Xenopus tropicalis: one gene and its partners. The protein of the gene in region 1 purifies or fractionates together with the protein of each later gene. This does not show direct contact. Links are inferred from orthologs where the notes say so. Each region holds a gene or a part of one and is shown on either strand. Other genes may lie near its edges.

The links. Proteins that work in one complex are often made in the same cells at the same time.
Region 2: the proteins of myo6 (region 1) and arhgef12 purify together in Homo sapiens (affinity purification with mass spectrometry; 4 studies listed by BioGRID and IntAct, counting the BioPlex papers as one, with this or other methods). This does not show direct contact. The link is inferred for Xenopus tropicalis from reciprocal best matches to the Homo sapiens genes MYO6 and ARHGEF12.
Region 3: the proteins of myo6 (region 1) and lrch3 purify together in Homo sapiens (co-immunoprecipitation; 3 studies listed by BioGRID and IntAct, with this or other methods). This does not show direct contact. The link is inferred for Xenopus tropicalis from reciprocal best matches to the Homo sapiens genes MYO6 and LRCH3.

The regions. Positions count from the first base shown.
Region 1 is NC_030681.2:90,541,952-90,547,880, reverse strand, and holds part of myo6 (unconventional myosin-VI), read left to right. Parts: intron 1-422; coding exon 423-631; intron 632-738; coding exon 739-817; intron 818-1,694; coding exon 1,695-1,852; intron 1,853-5,929. UniProt on the Homo sapiens protein: Myosins are actin-based motor molecules with ATPase activity. Unconventional myosins serve in intracellular movements. Myosin 6 is a reverse-direction motor protein that moves towards the minus-end of actin filaments.
Region 2 is NC_030683.2:78,917,411-78,924,044, reverse strand, and holds the start of arhgef12 (rho guanine nucleotide exchange factor 12), read left to right. Parts: upstream 1-2,761; 5' UTR 2,762-2,869; coding exon 2,870-2,901; intron 2,902-6,634. UniProt on the Homo sapiens protein: May play a role in the regulation of RhoA GTPase by guanine nucleotide-binding alpha-12 (GNA12) and alpha-13 (GNA13). Acts as guanine nucleotide exchange factor (GEF) for RhoA GTPase and may act as GTPase-activating protein (GAP) for GNA12 and GNA13.
Region 3 is NC_030681.2:100,434,546-100,441,221, forward strand, and holds the start of lrch3 (DISP complex protein LRCH3), read left to right. Parts: upstream 1-2,803; 5' UTR 2,804-2,822; coding exon 2,823-3,144; intron 3,145-6,676. UniProt on the Homo sapiens protein: As part of the DISP complex, may regulate the association of septins with actin and thereby regulate the actin cytoskeleton.

The DNA of each region.
Region 1 (5,929 bases):
AATTTTTGTTTTTATTAAATGGAACTTAACGGCCATGGCCTTGACTGGGTGTAGTCCAGAAAGAGGCGTCATAAAGTATGCATGGGTGCCCTACCACAGTTTTATAGGTGTCCCCAGATTGCTCTTTAAAAATATGGTAAACTTATTCTATACCCACTTAAAATCATCGAGCCATCCTCATTATTTTCTCTGCCCATTAAAAAGCAGCTGATGCCCACTAGCAAAGCCTACCACTTATCACATCAGTGATGCCATTTAAAGAACGCCACATTATTTATTAAAGTTACCCCGCAGTCCATATTTCCGCATCATAACCCCAACAGTGTGAACTGTGCTAGCTTACAAACGGCCTTGTCTACCTGCTGAAATGGCACAATCTTGTAAATCATTCATTCTTTTCATATTTTAAATTTTGTTTACAGAACACTATTATGACCCGGGAGCAGATAGAAAGAGAATATGATAATCTGGTCAAGAGTTCTGGTCAGCTCCTTAATTCTCTGCAAAAGAGAAAGAAAGAAGAAGAAGAGGCTGAACGTCTGCACAAAATTCAGGAGGAAATGGAAAGGGAGAGGAAAAGGCGTGAAGCTGAAGAGGAGCTTCGCAGGAAAGAAGAAAATGAGAGGCGTCTGTGAGTAACCCCATACAGCACCTTAGTGCTTTTAGCATTGCAGTTCTGTTTATGTTCTTTGATCGGAGCTAAAGCCTGACGCGACATGTTTATTTCTTCTTATGCAGAAAGGCCGAGATAGAAGCAAAAAGAAAACAAGAAGAAGAAGAGAGGAAAAAAAGGGAAGAAGAAGAAAAGCGAATTCAGGTTAGTTTGCAATAAACATCCAATCAAGTGTAATCATCAAACAAAGATATCTAAGGAATAAAAGACTAGGGATTGTATGGTAAAAATAAGGACTGGTGTTGAGACTGAATTTTAAATTACTAATGGGGTAGACCTTCCGATTTGTTTAAAATGTCTGTGGCCTTCCTGCTAGTCAGAGCTTTCTGGATAATGGATTTCCAGATAACTCATCTTATACTCAAATTATTGCTATTATTGTTCATTAAATTTAACAATTGAAAATTGCATTTATTTTGGAAAGCCAGACAGGTGTGTTATGGCCACCCAGGAGACAGTTCCTTGTTAAAAAGGATCAGCATAGGAATCGGCAACTTCACCGGTTAATTAACTTTTAACTCAAAACTAGACTTTAATACAGAAAAAAACTATAATCTTTCTAAAATAAAAGTAACTGTAACAGTAACTGGTTTTGTAAGGCTGATACCAGGCAAAATTTGTTTCAGCAGCCTCTACACCATTTCCCAGGTGACAGAGAAGGATGACTTGGGTGTAACAGCTTTCCCATTAATTCAGTTTGACCCTTGCAGTAGCTGTGCTTCAGTTCAAGAAGTACATTTGAGATCTGTCAGTTTGAAATTATGTTCTGTGTCAAAAAAGCAGCTTAAACTTTCATTCAGATAAATGCTTTGACTGGAATGCCCTTGGTATATGTATAAGCTTATATATATATAACTTTTGCATCTATAAACCTTGCTCATAAAGCCAAGAGTAAATACAGATAGAAGTTCTGTGCTAGGAAACATTTGCTTTATGTGTATCCAGGGTATAAACAATTTGATTGGAAGAAAATAGTTTGAGGGCAGAATGTGATGGCTGCAATAAAATGGTCTGTTTGTAGGCTGAAGTGGAGATGCAACTGGCTCGGGACCGGGAAGAGGAATCTCAGCAGCAGGCTATACTTGAACAAGAGCGAAGGGATCGGGAGCTTGCTATGAGGATTGCACAGAGCGAGGCAGAGCTGATAAATGAGGATGGGCCAGACTCTGCATTGCGCAGGTAAATCACTCTCATTGCGGGCTACTGAGAAATATATATATGCCCATTAGAAAAAAAAATCTGTCCGCTAATGTTTCTTTTGTTTCTCAGCCAAAATCGGAGAAATAGGGCAGTGCAAAAAGGCTGCCTAATATAACTTAAAGGGGCGGTTCACCTTAAGTATATTATAGAACGGCTAATTCAAAGCAACTTTTCAAATGGTCTTCATTACTTATTTTTTTTTTTTTTATAGTTTTTCAATTATTTCTGACTCTTTCCAAATTTCAAATGGGGGTCACTGACCCCAGCAGCCAAAAAATGATTGCTCTGTGAGGCTAAAGTTTTATTGTTATTGTTACCTTTTATTACTTATTTTTCCTCTCCTATTCATATACCAGTCTCTCATTCAAACCCACTACCTGGTTGCTAAGATAATTTGAACCCTGGCAACCAGATAACTGCTGTAATTCCAAACCGGAGAGCTGCTGAACAAAAAGTGAAATAATTAAAAAAAACACAAATAATAAAAAATGAAGACCAAGGCACTCTATACATCATACTAAAATGTAACACAAAGGTGAACAACCCCTTTAACTATGTAAATCAGAGATATTCAAAATGGGTCACCTTAGTAAAGACAATGTAAAATGACAAATTTACTATTCATTTGAAAATAACAAATTACATTTTATAGTGGGGGGGTGGCTTTTTATCTGGGGTTACAGGTCTGAATTATTTCTTGCGGGGTGTACTGTTTTCTTAATTTAGTCCGTGAATTTCTGCCAGCTAGGTATGAAAACTCTAAACACTTAAGCACTAAATAATCATTGCAAAAGGGGAAAGCATGCCAGCTGAAGAGGCAAGATATCAGCATGGTGGGGAATTACCCGTAAGTAACCCACTGCAGGGAGCTGAAATAGATTGGATTCAAGTCATTTACACTTGCAGTGAAGTAGAAGTTCAGCTGCCATAAAGCAGCACAGTGTGGCCTTTACATCTCAGGCTCAGGGCTGCAGCAAGTAACATTTCTTTACTTTGTAAAAGTGACTTTGCTGAACTTTCTCTGAGATTTCAACTCTTGGATGTGGAATGAATTTATTCACATTATACAGAGCTTCTAGTCATTTTGCTGTGAATGTATTAACCTTACAGCATAAACTAGTCTAGATGTCCCTGTGCAACACAATGCTGCTTTAATCCCTACTTTCTTTAGCCCTGAAAAAGGGCATAAAATGCATTTTGATGCCTTCCAGTACCAAAGGGATTAAATTAAGAGGTTTTCAGTTTCCAGATTCTGTGGTTTCCTTTAGTTATATTAGCGTTTTGTTATTTTGCACTAGAAAAATATGCATTTCTTCAAGCTTCTATGGTTTCCTTTCCCCCTTTCCCCAGTCCCCGTATTTGAGTCTTTTCCGACATTGCATCTCTAGGTATATGATCTGTATAGTGTACACTGCAGAAATACAAATCCAGCCGTTTCCTTGTTTACCTACTAAGATCAAGAGTAAAACTTGATTCAAGCAATACGCCGCCTCTACAACTCCCATCATCCCCTGTGGGTTATGATACTGGCTTTTGTGTTCTGCAGTGTCAGTGCTGTGTATACATATTGCTCTGTAAGGCATTTATGTAGCCAATCTTCTAAAACATTCATCTAATTGCAGTTTTCTTTTTTTGCCGTACAGATTAATTAAGGATACAAATAATGTACTTAAAAGGTTGTGATATAACAAACTGAGCAAACATTTGATCGTTTAAAGTAATAGAGGGCAATAAAATACAATCCAGAACAAATGTGTCTAAATATGCAATGTAAATTAGAAATATGTTGACTGGTGGCCCGTTAAAACCTCTGTGCTTAATTAGCCTAACATTCTCATTAGTGAAGAAAACAGGTTTGTTAATCTAACTTTGTAAATATTTTGAAGACAGTCCCTGCGCAGCTCCTGGCATTGTGAAACATTGTGTAGATCAGTGTTTTCTAACATAACTTGAGTGGTCCCCGAAGATGGCAGTTTACTAAAAGCATTTCATGTGAAGAAATCATCACTTCCCAGAGGATACCAGAGCAAAATAAAATGCATGTTCTGTAATTGCTCTGTCTTAACACAAAGCCATCACTGCATTCCACATTCTTTTTACTCTATCAATTTGTTTATAATGTTCCTGTTTAATATGCAGATTTGGGTATTTTCCACATGAACAGTTTGGAATGAATTTCCTCTCATAGAGTGTCACAAAATGCATCTGGTCCACACAATTCATTTTTTTGTTTTCTTTAGCTATACAACTACTGGTGTTCTCCCTCAATGGGTCTCCATTGGCTCCTTTTATTATCCGATTGTTGGCCTGGAAGCCAACATTATAGGGGCCTACTGAGACCTGCTGAGGGAAAACCACATCAACACGCTGATGCAGTTATAAATCTATGGCATTTTCTAGCATGCCCAATAGAGCAGAGTGGTCAGGATGCTTGAAGCCCCCCAAACACTGACTGATAAGTCACAAAGGGCTGTTGCATGGCCACCTTTAATTGTGGAATAGCTTCAAATTAATGCCACAGGAGGATATTTAGTATATGGGCACTTCAGACAAATAATATATTGTTTAGTCATAAATCACTAACATCACCACCAAATTTTCATTTGTATCCACTTATAATTAGTACTGGGCAGTTTTCGCATGTCTGTAAGGGATCTGTTATCAGGAATCCTTTATTCAAAATACGCCAATAGCATTTTCCAGTTTTTCAACAAGTAATTTTTCATTCTTGACTCCTTAGCTCTTTCTCTATAGTTAAAATATAATACTTTATACTTAATGATAACTGAACTACCACAAATCTGTTTCATTTCTAAAGTTTCAGTATTTTAAAGTAGCTTTAAGGCTGATGATCTGCATAATGGAAAGACCTCATATCCAGAAAACTGCAGATCCCAAACATCCCAGATACAAGATCTTTTACTAATTATATGCAGTTTACCTACACTTTCTTGCTTTTAAACTATTTATTTGTATTCTTTGCCTTTCTAACCTTTCTTGTCTCAAATCACTGTGACCTAAATGGCCTAGAATCATAGCAAAATATCAGTCATATAGCAAGACACTTGCTTCCCTATAGTTTTTATTTTATTTTATTTTTAAAAATCAGTCATGAAAGAGGCGTGCCCTAATTTATAATAAAAGTCATAACATTTGCTGGGTGCAGTAACACATAGTAACCAGTAACATGTTTGAAACAGGTGACCTGTTAATTCTAGTTTTGGTTGCTATGGGTGATTAGACCAGTAGCAAACTTTCATTACATTACTCCAAATAAGTGGATATACTGTATGCCAGTTGTAGTGAGCAATTACTCCTGCAGAGCTGTCAACCCGACTCTTGCCGGCGGTCCCCCTGCCCGACCGCTCCTGCCCTGACGCATTAAATTTACACGCTCGGGGGAGGACGTCAGGTGGGGGGCCTTGCGAGGGGGGCATCAAGCACCTGCAGGGCCCCTGGAGTGGGAGCCCTGCAGTCCGACCCTGTACCCTTTCACGATTTTGTCGGGAGTTAGCTGTTTTTGGCCCCTTCCCCCCCAGTATCCAGCCTCCATACCAAATTTCCCCAGTTTTACAGCACAGGGGGCATTTAGAGGCTTTAAGCATGCATGCACAGTGATGTCACTTTTGCCTTTGTGGGTTTGTATATCACATTTGTCCCCTGGCAGGTTGACTGCTCTGCTTTTGTGGCCAACAGCGGGCTGCCTCACAGCTCTGAGCCTTAGCATGCCATACCTATCCATCCCCATCCATCCTTCGAATAGCCTTCTTATATCTAATACCATATTTCATGTTACTTTTCAAAGCAGTCAGTGGTTCCCATGGTCCCTGTAAGTTTTATAGCAATGTTAAGGCAAGCTAGAACATAATTGGACTCAGTGGTACATATCACCCATCAAGGTGAACTATAGCAAGCATTGGTGGTTTTGAGCTAAGACACAGATGTGATTAATGCATTTTCAGATTAATCCAATGGGGATTTCAAGTTTGATTTATTTCTGCTTACCCTAACTTGCTACTGAGGAATTTAGATTCAAGCTTGTGTAGATTGTATTGT
Region 2 (6,634 bases), on another chromosome or scaffold:
ACCACTGTGTGCGCTGATATGAGTAGCAGACCCCAGACCAGTGACCCCACCCTAGGGAATGAGTTCCCAAGCACTTTGTACCTCACTCTGCTCTAATTACACACCCCTCATGCACCCCTTTTCCAGTTAGTACCCCCGATTTTCAAAGGTTCTTGTGCCGACTCTCCTTGCACTTACCTGTACTTGTGCCAGGTGCCAATTGATAATAAGAACCCTGGAATTCTAAGGTCCACACAGTAATTGCTGATACCAATTGGCTTCAAGGATTTCAGGTGCTAACGCTGTTATTAAACTATATGCAAAACTATTGCCATTAACACCCAATTTGTTGCAATGTGCAAGGTATTAGTAGCAAGCACTTTGTCACTTTGTGCACAGTGCAACTCAGCATGTGGCTGCAATGACTCTGGAATTGTAGGAAAAAAATCTTCATTGTGGGAAAAACTGCACTTTCCATACTGCGTTGTATTCATAAATGATCCGTATTATATTTGTTATTTATCTATTCAATCTTTTTTTGGTCTCTGTTTTGCTGCCTAATGGAGGGGCCGCAGCCATCTTTTCTGTGGGCCTTGTACATGATAATTGTTTTGTTTCTTCTAAATCATTACAGCGGAAACCCTGTTTTAAAGAGGTGGCAGAAAAAATGGTGTAAAATCCAGGAAAATGTAAAATCAAGGGAAATATGTTAAAGCAGAAGAAGTTGTATAGATTAAGAGCAGTGTCATGAATGCCAACTGAGTACAGAACATCTAGGAAGAATGGGTGGTCAACTATGTCAGGCTGCCGAGAGGGAGTGATTAGTGCTTGTTTGTTTGACAAAAGGAAAGTACCAGTAAAAAGTGAAAGGTTAAATAGGTAAGTGCAAGGCTGAGTGTATCAGAAATAGGGTGGAGGGGAGAAGGTATGGGGTCCACGGAATATGTTTTGGGGTTAGAGCTAGAAGTTTGCTAACTTCATATCATGTTTCAGGGGTGAGAGTTTAAAGTGGAGGTGAGTGAACTGCAAGCTAATTTGAGACTGTCATCAAATGGTATGCTCTATCTAATAAAGTAAATTTTGTCCTTAAAAAAATGAGCAAGGTCTTAGGCAGTTACAGTAATGGGCGGAGGATGCAGAGGCGGGCACAGAAGGGAGTTAAAGGAGAAGGAAAGGTATAATCAGTGGGGGGTGCCAAAATGTTAGGCACCCCAGGGTGGTTCTCCCATTAGCAGAAATCTGCACCGGCCCAGGGTACCTGTGAGTGAAAAGCCGAACTTTAACAAAAAAAGCCGTCTTTGTCACTGTACAGGTATAGGACCCGTTATCCAGAATGCTCAGGACCAAGGGTATTCCAGAAAAGGGGTCTTTCCATAATTTGGATCCCCATACCTTGTCTACTAAAAAATCAATAAAATATTAATTAAACCCAATAGGATTGTATTGAACCCAATAAGGATTATTTATATCTTAGTACAAGGTACTGTTTTATTACTACAGAGAAAAAGGAGATCAGTTTTAGAATTCTGAATTATATGAATAAAATGAAGTCTATGGGAGACGGGCTTTCTATAATTCGGAGCTTTCTGGATAACGGGATCCCATACCTATATTGTACAGCTCCGGGATCACAAAGAAAAATGAAAGGAGCATACAGCTAAACGGAGCCAGTGCAGTTTTCTGCTGACAGGGGCACTAGCTGATCAACAGAAGCAAATTCAGTGTTGGGGTTCTGCCCACACCCACTATGGCAAAAACAAAGTGCCTCTCCCAGCTCCCTGGCACAAGCATAAGTTCTAAGACCAGACAAAAACAATAGATTATTCAGCTGTGGCCAGTTTTGGGAGCTGAGGCTCTGCTGGCAGAAGGTATTGCTGGCAAACACCAGGGAAAATAGTTTTATTTTTTCCTGACATAAGTAAGAACTGCCAGCCGAACAGAAACACGAATTGTCAGTACGAACTCGCACAATGCTGTATCGAGCAAAGAGTCCCGCGTATAATTAAAAAGTTATAATTGTGGAAAACTAAATTCCTCCGTCGCTACTCGTCACTGGCCCCCCCAGTTACGTGCTGCGTCACCGCGCTTCCATACGTATAGTTGTGACGCCCCGTCTCGCGAGATGAGATTCGTGACGTTGGGATTAGCTGTCAGGCAGGAGCCGAGGAGCAGGACAGTAATGGCGCTGCGAAACGTTTAGCAGCGATACGGGACTGCAGGTTTTGTTAAGAAAATCGGGACTGTCCCGCGAAAGGCGGGACCTTTGGTCGGTATGAGTATAGTACTTATTCTGAAGGCGGTGCGACCCCCTGTAGTTGTCATTTAAGTGTTAGGCTAAGAAAATGCTCAACCCTACCTCATTTGTGATTCATTCGGAATTAAAAGGCAATAATTTTGACGATTAGGTGCTTTTGCTTAGTTCTTTAGTTATAGTACGTAACAATATATACCTATGCATGACTGAGGTCACTTCAGCATTCTTCAGTATTCTACATTGAAATCATCAGCCGCGTTGACCGCTTCAGACATACCTCTCCTTATCTCCAAGTACTGTACTTTTGTCACCACTTTTTTGGGGTTGGTTTCGATACTAATGAAAGCTGCACCGCTGCTCCAGAGTTGCAAACTTCCATATCTGGGTGAAAACGTGTTGGCCGTCAGTACAACACACTGAGAGACGCTGGCAAATCATGCTGTAGATCTTCATCATCTTACCGGTGCCTAGTGTTCTTTATGGCAACTTGGAATCCTCAACAGCCCAACTTACTCTTTTTCAGACTCTATTTTAAGGCAGGTGTACACTTTCCAAAATTGAAGAATTAATGACATTTAAAATAAGATGTAAGTTTGCTTGGTGAAGTAAAAAATAATACCATCCCAGAGGGACCCAATGAGTGGAACACAGTCTGCAGCTTCCGACAGGTGAGTTGCACATGGTTATGTTTAACAGATACTTTTTTTTTTAAAGAACATATTAAAATATATATATATATATATATATATATATATATATATATATATATATATATATATATGTGTGTTCTAAATTTGAAACATGAAATTGTTAGCATCTTTCATATATATGTATATAAAAGATGCTTAAAATTTGTTCTTTCTGTACTGTTCCCATTTCATACTAAGGAGTCTTTGCTATGGTAATTATGTCATGGTTTATTTGCCATTTTTTTCATTAATCTGTATTTCGCATGCTGAGATTTGTAACATTTAGGGTTCTGGCACACGGGGAGATTAGTCGCCCGCGAATAGGGAGATTTGTCGCGGGCGAGTTGCCATCAGTTGCCATCCCACCGGCGACAATGTAAGTCGCCGGTGGGATGGCACACGTGGCAGCGCGATTTTGGAAAATCGCCAAAAATGCCTCGCAAGGCAACTTTGCCGATTTGCCGAAATCTTGTGCCATCCCACGGGCGACTTACATTTTCGCCGGTGGGATGGCAATTCGGGGAGATTAGTCTCGGGTGACTAATCTCCCCGTGTGCCAGAACCCTTAGGGTGAAGACGCAGCTACTTGTTGTGGCTACTAAAAAGGCAACGCTGATCATTTACTGATAATTGTCTCTACGTGTGTTTTAGCAGAGGCAATACTCAGTATTGTCTATGGCAGGGTATTTTCTGGAGTTTAGTAGCCTTGAAAAACTTGCTGCTCTAGTAGCCCACTGTGTCTTCACCCCTACATTTCTAGCTTCCGTACACAGGAAATAACTAGTTATATCCTTTGGTGAAAGTGCTAGCAGTAGCGCATTGTTTAAAGGAAGGCCAATTTGGTACTGTAAACAGAACATCATGCTTTTATGTTGTCCCAAATTTTCCAAACCTTGACTATTGGGCCTCATGCATGCTTGATGATGCAAGGGAGCAAATTAGAACTTACCCATTTACAGTACAGGTACTGTACTATTACCTGGAATGCGTGGGGCCTGTGGTTTTCTGTATAAGGGGTCATTTTATAATTTAAATCGCCATGCATTGTCTCCAAAAAAAATAATTTAAACATTAAATAAACCCAATATGATTGTTTTCCACCAAAGCATTCATGCAGCAAGACTAAGTACATGGTACTGTTTTATTATTACAGAGAAATAGGACATTACTTTTAAAAATTAAAATTATTTGCTTAAAATGGCTTCTATGGGAGATGGCCATCCCTTGGAGATTTTTGCATAATTGGATTTTGGATAATGCATCCCAAACCTGTGGTCGCATTCTACACCTTAAAAAAACTTGCTAAGACCAAACACACATATGCATAGACCTGTCTGTTTCATTTCAGGGTTTTGGGCGAGTGAAAAACACATTCATAGCAAAGCATAGGGATAATTAATAAAACTGTATTATTGTTCTTTGGAATGATAATACATGCAAACCAAAATGCAGTTAACTCTTGTAGGCTTAATATTACTGTCAAAACAATTACACTTCTATAGTTCAGCTATGAAACAATCATCTTTAAACTTAAATGACCTTCAGGCTGAACCTGAAGGTTCCACTGAGCGTGGTGACAAAAATCAAAATATGGCCAACTTTTTTTCTGTGATCTTGGGTTTTTCCCCCCTCTGGGTTGAGTTCTCGTTTTGTCGTGGAAAAAAAAAGAGTTGCATGTCATCACATTGTTCAATTCATTTTCAATGAGGCTGAAAATCTTGAATGTATTAATAAATTGGAAAAATAAAATAATAAGTTTTTAAGTTTTACTTGTGATTTTGTTTGTTTTTTTTTTTTAAATGGGAACTCCACCTAAACACATCTTAACCATTTTTAAAAGTAAACATTGTGGGTTATAAAGTTCCTGCATACTGTCTGTAAACTGCGGAGAAGTTGTTACCAATTGAAATATCAATGTTTTACTCCCTCCTCCCCAAATTGTATTTATTCATACTTTTTGAAGAAACAGATTACAGTGATATATTAGGGCTTTTGTTGTTGTGTGGTGCTCTTTAACAAATTGTGGTTCTGATGCAGGAGTTCCCCTTTAAAAAACCCAGACCAAGGTTTCCGAAAATACTTGAGCCCATTTTTCTCCTTGCCTTGAAGAGATAATGACATCAGAAATTAAACTTTTTTTACAACTATATCTTTGCATGGTGTTTATAATTTAAGGATAACAGTATTTGCCAGATGCTTTTATATTACCTCTGTGATCCCCTATGTTCCTCTTTGAGGGGGATGCCATATTGGTGGAGCAGTTGTCCATTAGCACTAATTGACAGGTTGAGTAGGGACAGTCAGGTCAGCAAAACAGTCAGGTTTAGGAACTTCAAGTAACAATCATGACCTATAGGTAACTTTTAATGTAATATTTTGACGAGAAGTTTTTTTTTTTGTGTTATTTTCATATATTTTTTTTTTTCAATCAAGTAAAAACTTAAAAATTACAGAAAACCCCACATAACAAGCATTTTCAATTATAGATCTGATACCTGTACTTCATATCTTTCCCTTTCAATGACAATATATGTTCATTACTGTATTCACAGATTTAGTGGCAAATTTATCAAAATGTGAGTTTAGAGTTTTAAAACCCACCCATGGTCTATTTATTGCTGTGGGAGTATGAGGTATTTTATATAAGAAGTATTTTTATCAAATGATGAGTTCGACTTTGCCAAAACAACAAATCTTTAAATGTATGTTAAGCTTTACTTAAATAATGCAGCTCTGTTGGTCGATGTTAGTTGATGGTGTTATTTTTTTTGTATTAAGAATTCTTTAGCACAGGGAAGTAACATGACAGCATTCACTCATGAATAAAATTTGCTGCACTTTCATATACTTTTGTGTGTTTAAGGCACAATGGTTAATGTAGCAATATTGAAATGTATGCAGCACAATACTTTCCAGTAAAAGATACTGAAATATTCTTAGCAGTATAGGCTAGTGTATATTACATAATTTGGCAGTAAAGAATGTATTTTTTACCATGTTCTTTGCATTTTTTGGAAAGAATTCTTACATAGTAGCTAATAATTTATGTTTGTTACTGTTTCCTAGTGAGATTGATGTATAACAATCCAACAATCTAAATAAAAAAAAGTCACACTGGTGCATTGTTCAGTAAAGAATTTCCTTTTCTCAGAATGGTGGCAGTATAATTCAAACCTATTAAAATGTAAGGTATCTGTTGCAAAACAAGCATGTGTCACTTTTTTAGGAATGTTGGAATTGTGTTTTTGTCCAACATCTTGTATTCAGTATCCACCATAAAGCTTTCCATACCTGTACCGGCGATTCAGTTAAATCTAATCTGCCGATATACCAGATCTCCAAGTGAATGGCACATGTGAGGAGATGAAGAGCAGCTACTTTTATTTCCTACTTGTCTGGCACAAAAGAAGGGCAGCAATAAAAGATGTATGTCTCTTTATAACGATTCAGCCTAAAGGTTGGTTATTCAAACCATAACTTTACCCCTTTTATTTTTTAATGTATCTTTGGGAACTGCAGTAAAATTGTTTTTAGATATATTACACTCTGAAAAGTACAAATGTTTGTTTCAGACTGCACTGGGTAGGTATTTTTTGGTAGATGTGCTTAGGGATGAAATAGTCCTGACAAATGCTTTATAATGCATTGTTACCAGGAGCTGATAGTAGACAGGCCTTTACTATAAGATCCCTTGGACCGATTCGGCAGCTAA
Region 3 (6,676 bases), about 9.9 Mb from region 1:
CTGCCGAACACAGAGGAGTGCAGCAGCCGCCGGTTACAATACACAGGAGGCACAATCATTTGATAGACGACCTGGTAACAGCCCTGATTCCCACAGGGAAAGCGTAAGGGTAAGTCCACCACCACGCAGGGGGCACAAACATCTGTAAGGCGCCCTGGTCATACGCATTTCTGGAGGCCAGTCATCTGAAAGGCGCCCAGGTATATATAAAAAAAAAAAAAACATGGTGTAATCCCTTGGGTAGGAAAAAAACACTGAGGGCTAGAGGGAAGCAGAGGGACTTATAGGAGATGAGGGGGTGGAGTAATTAATTGGGGGGTGTGGTGTTTTCCTACCAGGTGGAAGTCATCTCTCTAGTAAGTGCTGCCAAGGGACGTGAGGGAAATATGGCCATAATGAATACCTTCAAATTTTGTCGAAGTGTTTATTAAGCTTTCTGAATTCTTAAAATCTGGTCTCTTTCTAGTTGTCAGGGGCCACATACAAAAAAAATCCTATTTGAGGCTACAATTTATTATAGCCAATGTCATCAGCTTGTGATCCCACAAGACTGCAATAAAATCTCAGAAGGGTTTATGTAATAATAGATTTGGTGCTGCATGTTATGCTCCCCAAAAAGGCATAGTAGTTGAGAGCTATATAATGTTATTTTCTTTTAAGGGGGGGCTTTTGCACAGCCTTGGAACACTTACTTAGAAGTTTTCACACCCATACACACCAAATTGTTGTGACTAGCGTAAATGATTATCGCAATGCGGAATTCCTTTTTAAAGGAGAAGGAAAGGCAAAGTCACTTAGGGGTGCCAAAATGTTAGGCATTTTGCATTGTGTGTCTGTGTGTGCCACACTAAGCATGGACAACAGAAAGAGGAGAAGAGAACTGTGGGAAAATATCAACAATCTCAAGGTAACAAGTCCATCTCCAGAGATCTATATTTGCCTTTGTCCACAGTGCACAACATTATCAAGAAGTTTGCAACCCATGGCATTGTAATGGATGGAAGAGAAAAATTGATGAAAGGTTGCAACGCAGGATAGTCCGGATGGTGGATAAGCAGCCCCAAACAAGTTCCAAAGAATTTCAAGCTGTACTGCAGGCTCAGGGAGCATCAGTGTCAGCGCAAACTATCCCTCTGCATTTAAATGAAATGAAACGCTAAGGCAGGAGAGCCAGGAGGACCCCACTGCTGACACAGAGACATAAAAAAGCAAGACTACAGTTTGCCAAAATGTACTTGAGTAAGCCGCAATCCTTCTGGGAAAACGTCTTGTGGACAGATGAGACCAAGATAGAGCTTTTTGGTAAAGCACATCATTCTACTGTTTACTGAAAACGGAATGAGGCCTACAAAGAAAAGAACACAGTACCTACAGTGAAATATGGTGGAGGTTCAATGATGTTTTGGGGGTGTTTTGCTGCCTCTGGCACTGGGTGCCTTGAATGTGTGCAAGGCATCATGAAATCTAAGGATTACCAAAGGATTTTGGGTCGCACTGTACAGCCCAGTGTCAGAAAGCTGGGTTTGGGTCCGAGATCTTGGGACAATGACCCCAAACATACGTCAAAAAGCACCCAGAAATGGATGGCAACAAAGCACTGGAGAGTTCTGAAGTGGCCAGCAATGAGTCCAGATATAAATCCCATTGAACATTTGTGGAGAGATCTTAAAATTGCAGTTGGGAAAAGGCGCTCTTCCAATAAGAGAGACCTGGAGCAGTTTGCAAAGAGTGGCCCAAAATTCCCGGTGAGAGGTGTAAGAAGCTTATTGATGGTTATGGGAAGCAACTGATTTCAGTTATTTTTTCCAAAGGGTGTGCAACCAAATATTAAGTTAAGGGTGCCAATAATTTAGTCCAGCCCATTTTTGCAGTTTTGTGTGACATTATGTCCAATTTGCTTTTTTTCCTCTCTTTTTTTTGTTCTGTTCCAATACACACAAAGGGAATAAACATGTGTATAGCAAAACACATGTTACTGCAATACTTTTCTGTGAGAAATACTTGATTTTCTGGAAAAATTTCTGGGGTGCCAACAATTTGGGCCATGGCTGTATATCCTGACATGAAAAGAACAAGCTTGTAGAACCAATGTCAAATGTTTTATGTTACAAATGCATAAATAAACACCTTTGAAAAAAGTTCCAGTATTTGCCACATCCCAACTGGCAGCAATTAAAATTCATATGCATATTAGCACTTTTTCATTTGGTCTCTATATGCCACATACAGGGTCAGAATGACCTATGGGACACCAGGAAAAATCCCAGTGGGCCCCACCACCCCAGTGTGCAGTTGGCCAGATTACCATTGGCCAGTATATGTGGTAGTGCGGAGATGGGCCCTGGGTGCCCCAGTCTGGCACTGTACACATACTTCGGGTTGAACTATTTAGAAGACCCCAGCCATTTATACTTAAAAATGATTTCTCCTGGGGAGATAACGTGGGAGATAAAATTGACATTTGCGTCCATATTCAAAATGTTATCCAAACTGTTACATTTTGGTAAACTGGCATAGAACTAATATTTTCTTCAAAAATAATTGTTTATATATCTAGGAGGATATTACGTGATACCCCTCAAGGTCTATTAAGCGTGTGCTTACCCTACGAACGTGAACAGAAAATGTACTTTCATTATCAGTCGCAAAAAGAGGAATTCAGTTACACTAATAAAGTAGTGGCAAATAGGAAAGATACTATTAAACGAATTCTAATTGTCTTCTGGCTGTTCTACGGAAATTCCTTTTTTGGTCCCCTCAACGCGCATACGCAGCTCTGAGGAGCGGTCTCCCCATCTCTCCCTCCCCCTCTACGGGAGCGCATGCGCCTTAAGCACCAGTCCCGCCCATGTGTCCCGCTTCCTGTCAGTCTGGCAGCGCAAGCGCAAATTGGAGTCGGTGTTATGGCGGCCGCTGTGTTGGCCGAGGGCTCGGTAGTGTCTGGTTATTCTGGGATTAATCACAACAGCCATGGAGCAGCGTCGGGGGCCGGAGTGGGCGCAGGGCCGGCTGCATGGAACCGTTCTTTGGAGAGGGCATTGGAGGAAGCGTCGGTGACCGGGGTCCTTAACCTGAGTGGCAGGAAACTGAGAGAGTTTCCGCGGAGTGCAGTCCAGCACGACCTCAGCGACACCACCCAAGCCGGTGAGGGATAAAGTATACATTTCTTTGCCTTATTGATAGTCTGGATGTCCGGCCATTGCCACTTCAGTTTTTGTTGGACTACACCTCCCAGAATCCCCTGACAACCAAAGTCTAGCCCAAAAACAGCCGGAGAGCCTCTACATCATGTAACCTGGAGAATTGCATAAAATAACGCAATACGTTTACTGTAGAAACAAACTCGAGTAGGGGATGTGTTACTGTGTGACAGGCAGCGCGGGCTGGGGGGGGGGGAGGCGATTCCAGCCATTGAGTTACATTTGTGTGTGACGGTGGGGTTGCTTGTGCCACAGGCAATGGGACCTGGTTAGAGGAGCTACAAGAGAGAGAGGGGTGAACTTGGCAGAGAGGAATATGGCAGGTAGGGAGTGCCTGGGCCCGTCTGTCTCTGTGACAGGTGTCTGGCTCTGGGGACTGGCTTGGGAATACATAACCCCACGGATAAAGGTTTGTGGTTTTATCAGTTATAATGATATAGCTCAGGAGTTATGTCGTACATAGAAAGCCATATACTGTGTAATGTTACCAGTGGGATGTGCAAAATACCTCATGAGCATGTTCTAACAAGCATGTTTCAGTAGAGAATGCAGGTCTATGTGACTCCATACATAACCATAAAGGTTTAGACGCAACGTTTTAGTAAAAAGAATGTTGAACTGTGCTATTCTGCTCAGTGTTGGCTGTCTTAATGGCAGGGGTACACGAGGAGATTAGTCGCCCTGCCACAAATCTCCCCGCAATGCCATCCCTCCTGCTAGAAAGTAAATTGCAGGTGTCGCTGCAGTGTCTCACAGTCGTAGCGACGCATATGCCATCCCACCGGCGATTTACATTCTAGTCGGAGGCATGGCATTGTGGGGCGACTAATCTCCCCGTGTACCTCTGCCCTATGGTCCCCTAAGTGGCTGGTAGTACCTATAGCTGAAATAATGCACAGAGTTTTTTCCCATGTTATTAATAGAGCTGTGACACATTTCCACAGCATTTTACAGAGATTATACTTCATTCACACCAGTCCCTGCCCCAGAGGACCTTACAATCTTAGTTCCTTGTCACATTAAAGGTGGCCATACACGCACCGATATTATCGTACGAAACCTCGTTTCGTACGATAATCGGTGCGTGTATGGCATGTCAGCGAGCCGACCGATATCGCAGGAAGCTGCTGAAATCGGTCGGCTCGCCGATCGGCCAAGTTAGAAAATTTTGATCGGGCGCCATAGAAGGCGCCTGACCAAAATTCTCCCTTCAGAGCTGAATCGGCAGAAGGAGGTAGAAATCCTATTGTTTCTACCTCCTTACCTGCCGATTCAGCCCTGAATGGTGTGTGGCGGATCTGACGATGTTTCGTGCGACCGACGGTCGTACGAAACATCGTGAGATCGCCACGTGTATGGCCAGCTTTACACATACTGTGGTCAGTTAAGACAGAAGGCAATAACCTGCCTGTATGTATGTTTTTGGTGTATGAGAGGAAAGCCATGCAGATATACAAAGGAGCTTATATATATAAGTAATTAATATAATATAATAATATATAATAAGTAATTATATATTGAAGTAATTAATATAAATCATAATAACCAGGGTGAGTAGATTCAGTACTGTGCTTTAGGACCTCTCCAATGCTTCCATCCAATGAAGCCTTATATACTACAAATGTCACACCTGAAAAAGAGTTTTAGTGTTAAAATAAAACACATTAACTTTTGCAGTATATACTGCATTTGACCGTTCGTTCCAGACTAATTCTGGCTGGTATACAAATATAAATTTCTTTTGATGTTTTTGGCTCTTTTCGGATTTGTTCAAAATGTAACTCATTGTAAATCTACATATTTTTCCCTTTTAATAATGTCGCAACTGAACTAAAGTCTGTGGACTAAACAGTCTTAAGTTTTACCTTTTCATCTCCCAATGATAGAAAAATATAAATATATAGACACAGCGATTTATGCAGAAGATTCTATCTATGTGTTTTATTGTACAGTGGCAGGGTATTCTGATGAAGGGTCCTATGTCGGAAATATTTTTGTTTGCTTGTTTAATAAAAAATTACAGGAAAATTCACAAGTTGCAATTCTTTAGGAATTGAGTGGACTGTTACAAATGTTTTGGGTTGCAGTGCACCTGCAGCACCAGTACTAGTACCATTCTTCTCACTGATTATGTAAAGGAACAGTAACATCAAAAAATTAAATTGTTTTAAAGTAATTAAAATATAATGTGCTGTTGCTTTGCAAAAAAAAAAAAATGGTGTTTTTGCTACAGAAAAGCTACTATATAAATAAGCTGCTGTGTAGCTATGGGGGCAGCCATTCAAGCTGGAAAAAAGGAGAAAAGGCACAGGTTACATAGCAGATAACTAGTAGATAAGCCCCATATAATGGGGGTTTGTCTGTTATCGGCTAAGTAACCTGTGCCTTTTCTCCTTTGAATGGCTGCCCCCATGGCTACACAGCAGCTTACTTATATAAACTATAGTAGTCTTTCTGAGGCAAACACACCAGTTGTAGCAATGCAGGGCAACAGTACATTATATTGTAATTACTTTTATACACTTTCATTTTTTGGTGTTACTGTTCCTTTAAAGAAGAATTCAGTAATCCTTAGGTTTTGGTACAGAGAATAGAAACATTTTTATGGTTATGACACAATAATGATATTGCAAGATAAACACAGGTTTGTCTTCTTAATACAGCGAAGGCAAGAGATGATTACAATATGCTTGCAACAGATAGCTACAGTAGACTGGGGTGGTGTGTCTGGACAGTCTGTGGCAACATTGTAGTCGGTTGACCTCATTAGGAGTTGGATAGAGAAAGTGAAGGATTAGGCTGTACCTTTGGGTGCCTGAGATTGACTGGCAAACAGAATGCTGTAAAATATTTCAGTCATTGGCCATTTTAAAGGAGTAGTAATGCTTTTCAGAAATCTTTTAAAATCATGTATATATATATTTATTTATTTTGTACTATTTAGAAGATATAGCCATTAGGTTCCCCAATTGCATCTACCTCAGGATCAGTGATTCTTTTGAAAATCAAATGGTTAGTGGCTTTGCTCCCTACTGTTGCAGTGGAAGCCAGCAAAAGTGCTGGTTAGCAGTGACAACATTCTTACCTTATGTGCTGGAATCTGCTGCAGAGAGCAGGAAGCATGGCCACAGACTGCTTGGATTCCAAGAGGATCACAGATGGGGTAGCTATCCCTTCTCTAATGATAGTTGTTGCTATCTGTTCTGCATGCTATTTGCTATCTTCTTTTGTTACACAAGATGGTCCTTTTATATTATCAGTTAGTATGTGTTAGTGCACAACTTCGCTGCTGTACCGCCAGTATAAATTATGCCCACTTCCAATCTCTGGTTTCTTGTGGCTGCAGTCTGAGCATCCATTTCCTACAATTAATTTTTCTTATTGTCACGGGCAACTTGATCATTGTCATTGGGAAGCATTTCCTAGTAGATTGTAATATCTAGTAATTTCCTAGTAATATTTTTATTACCACTACA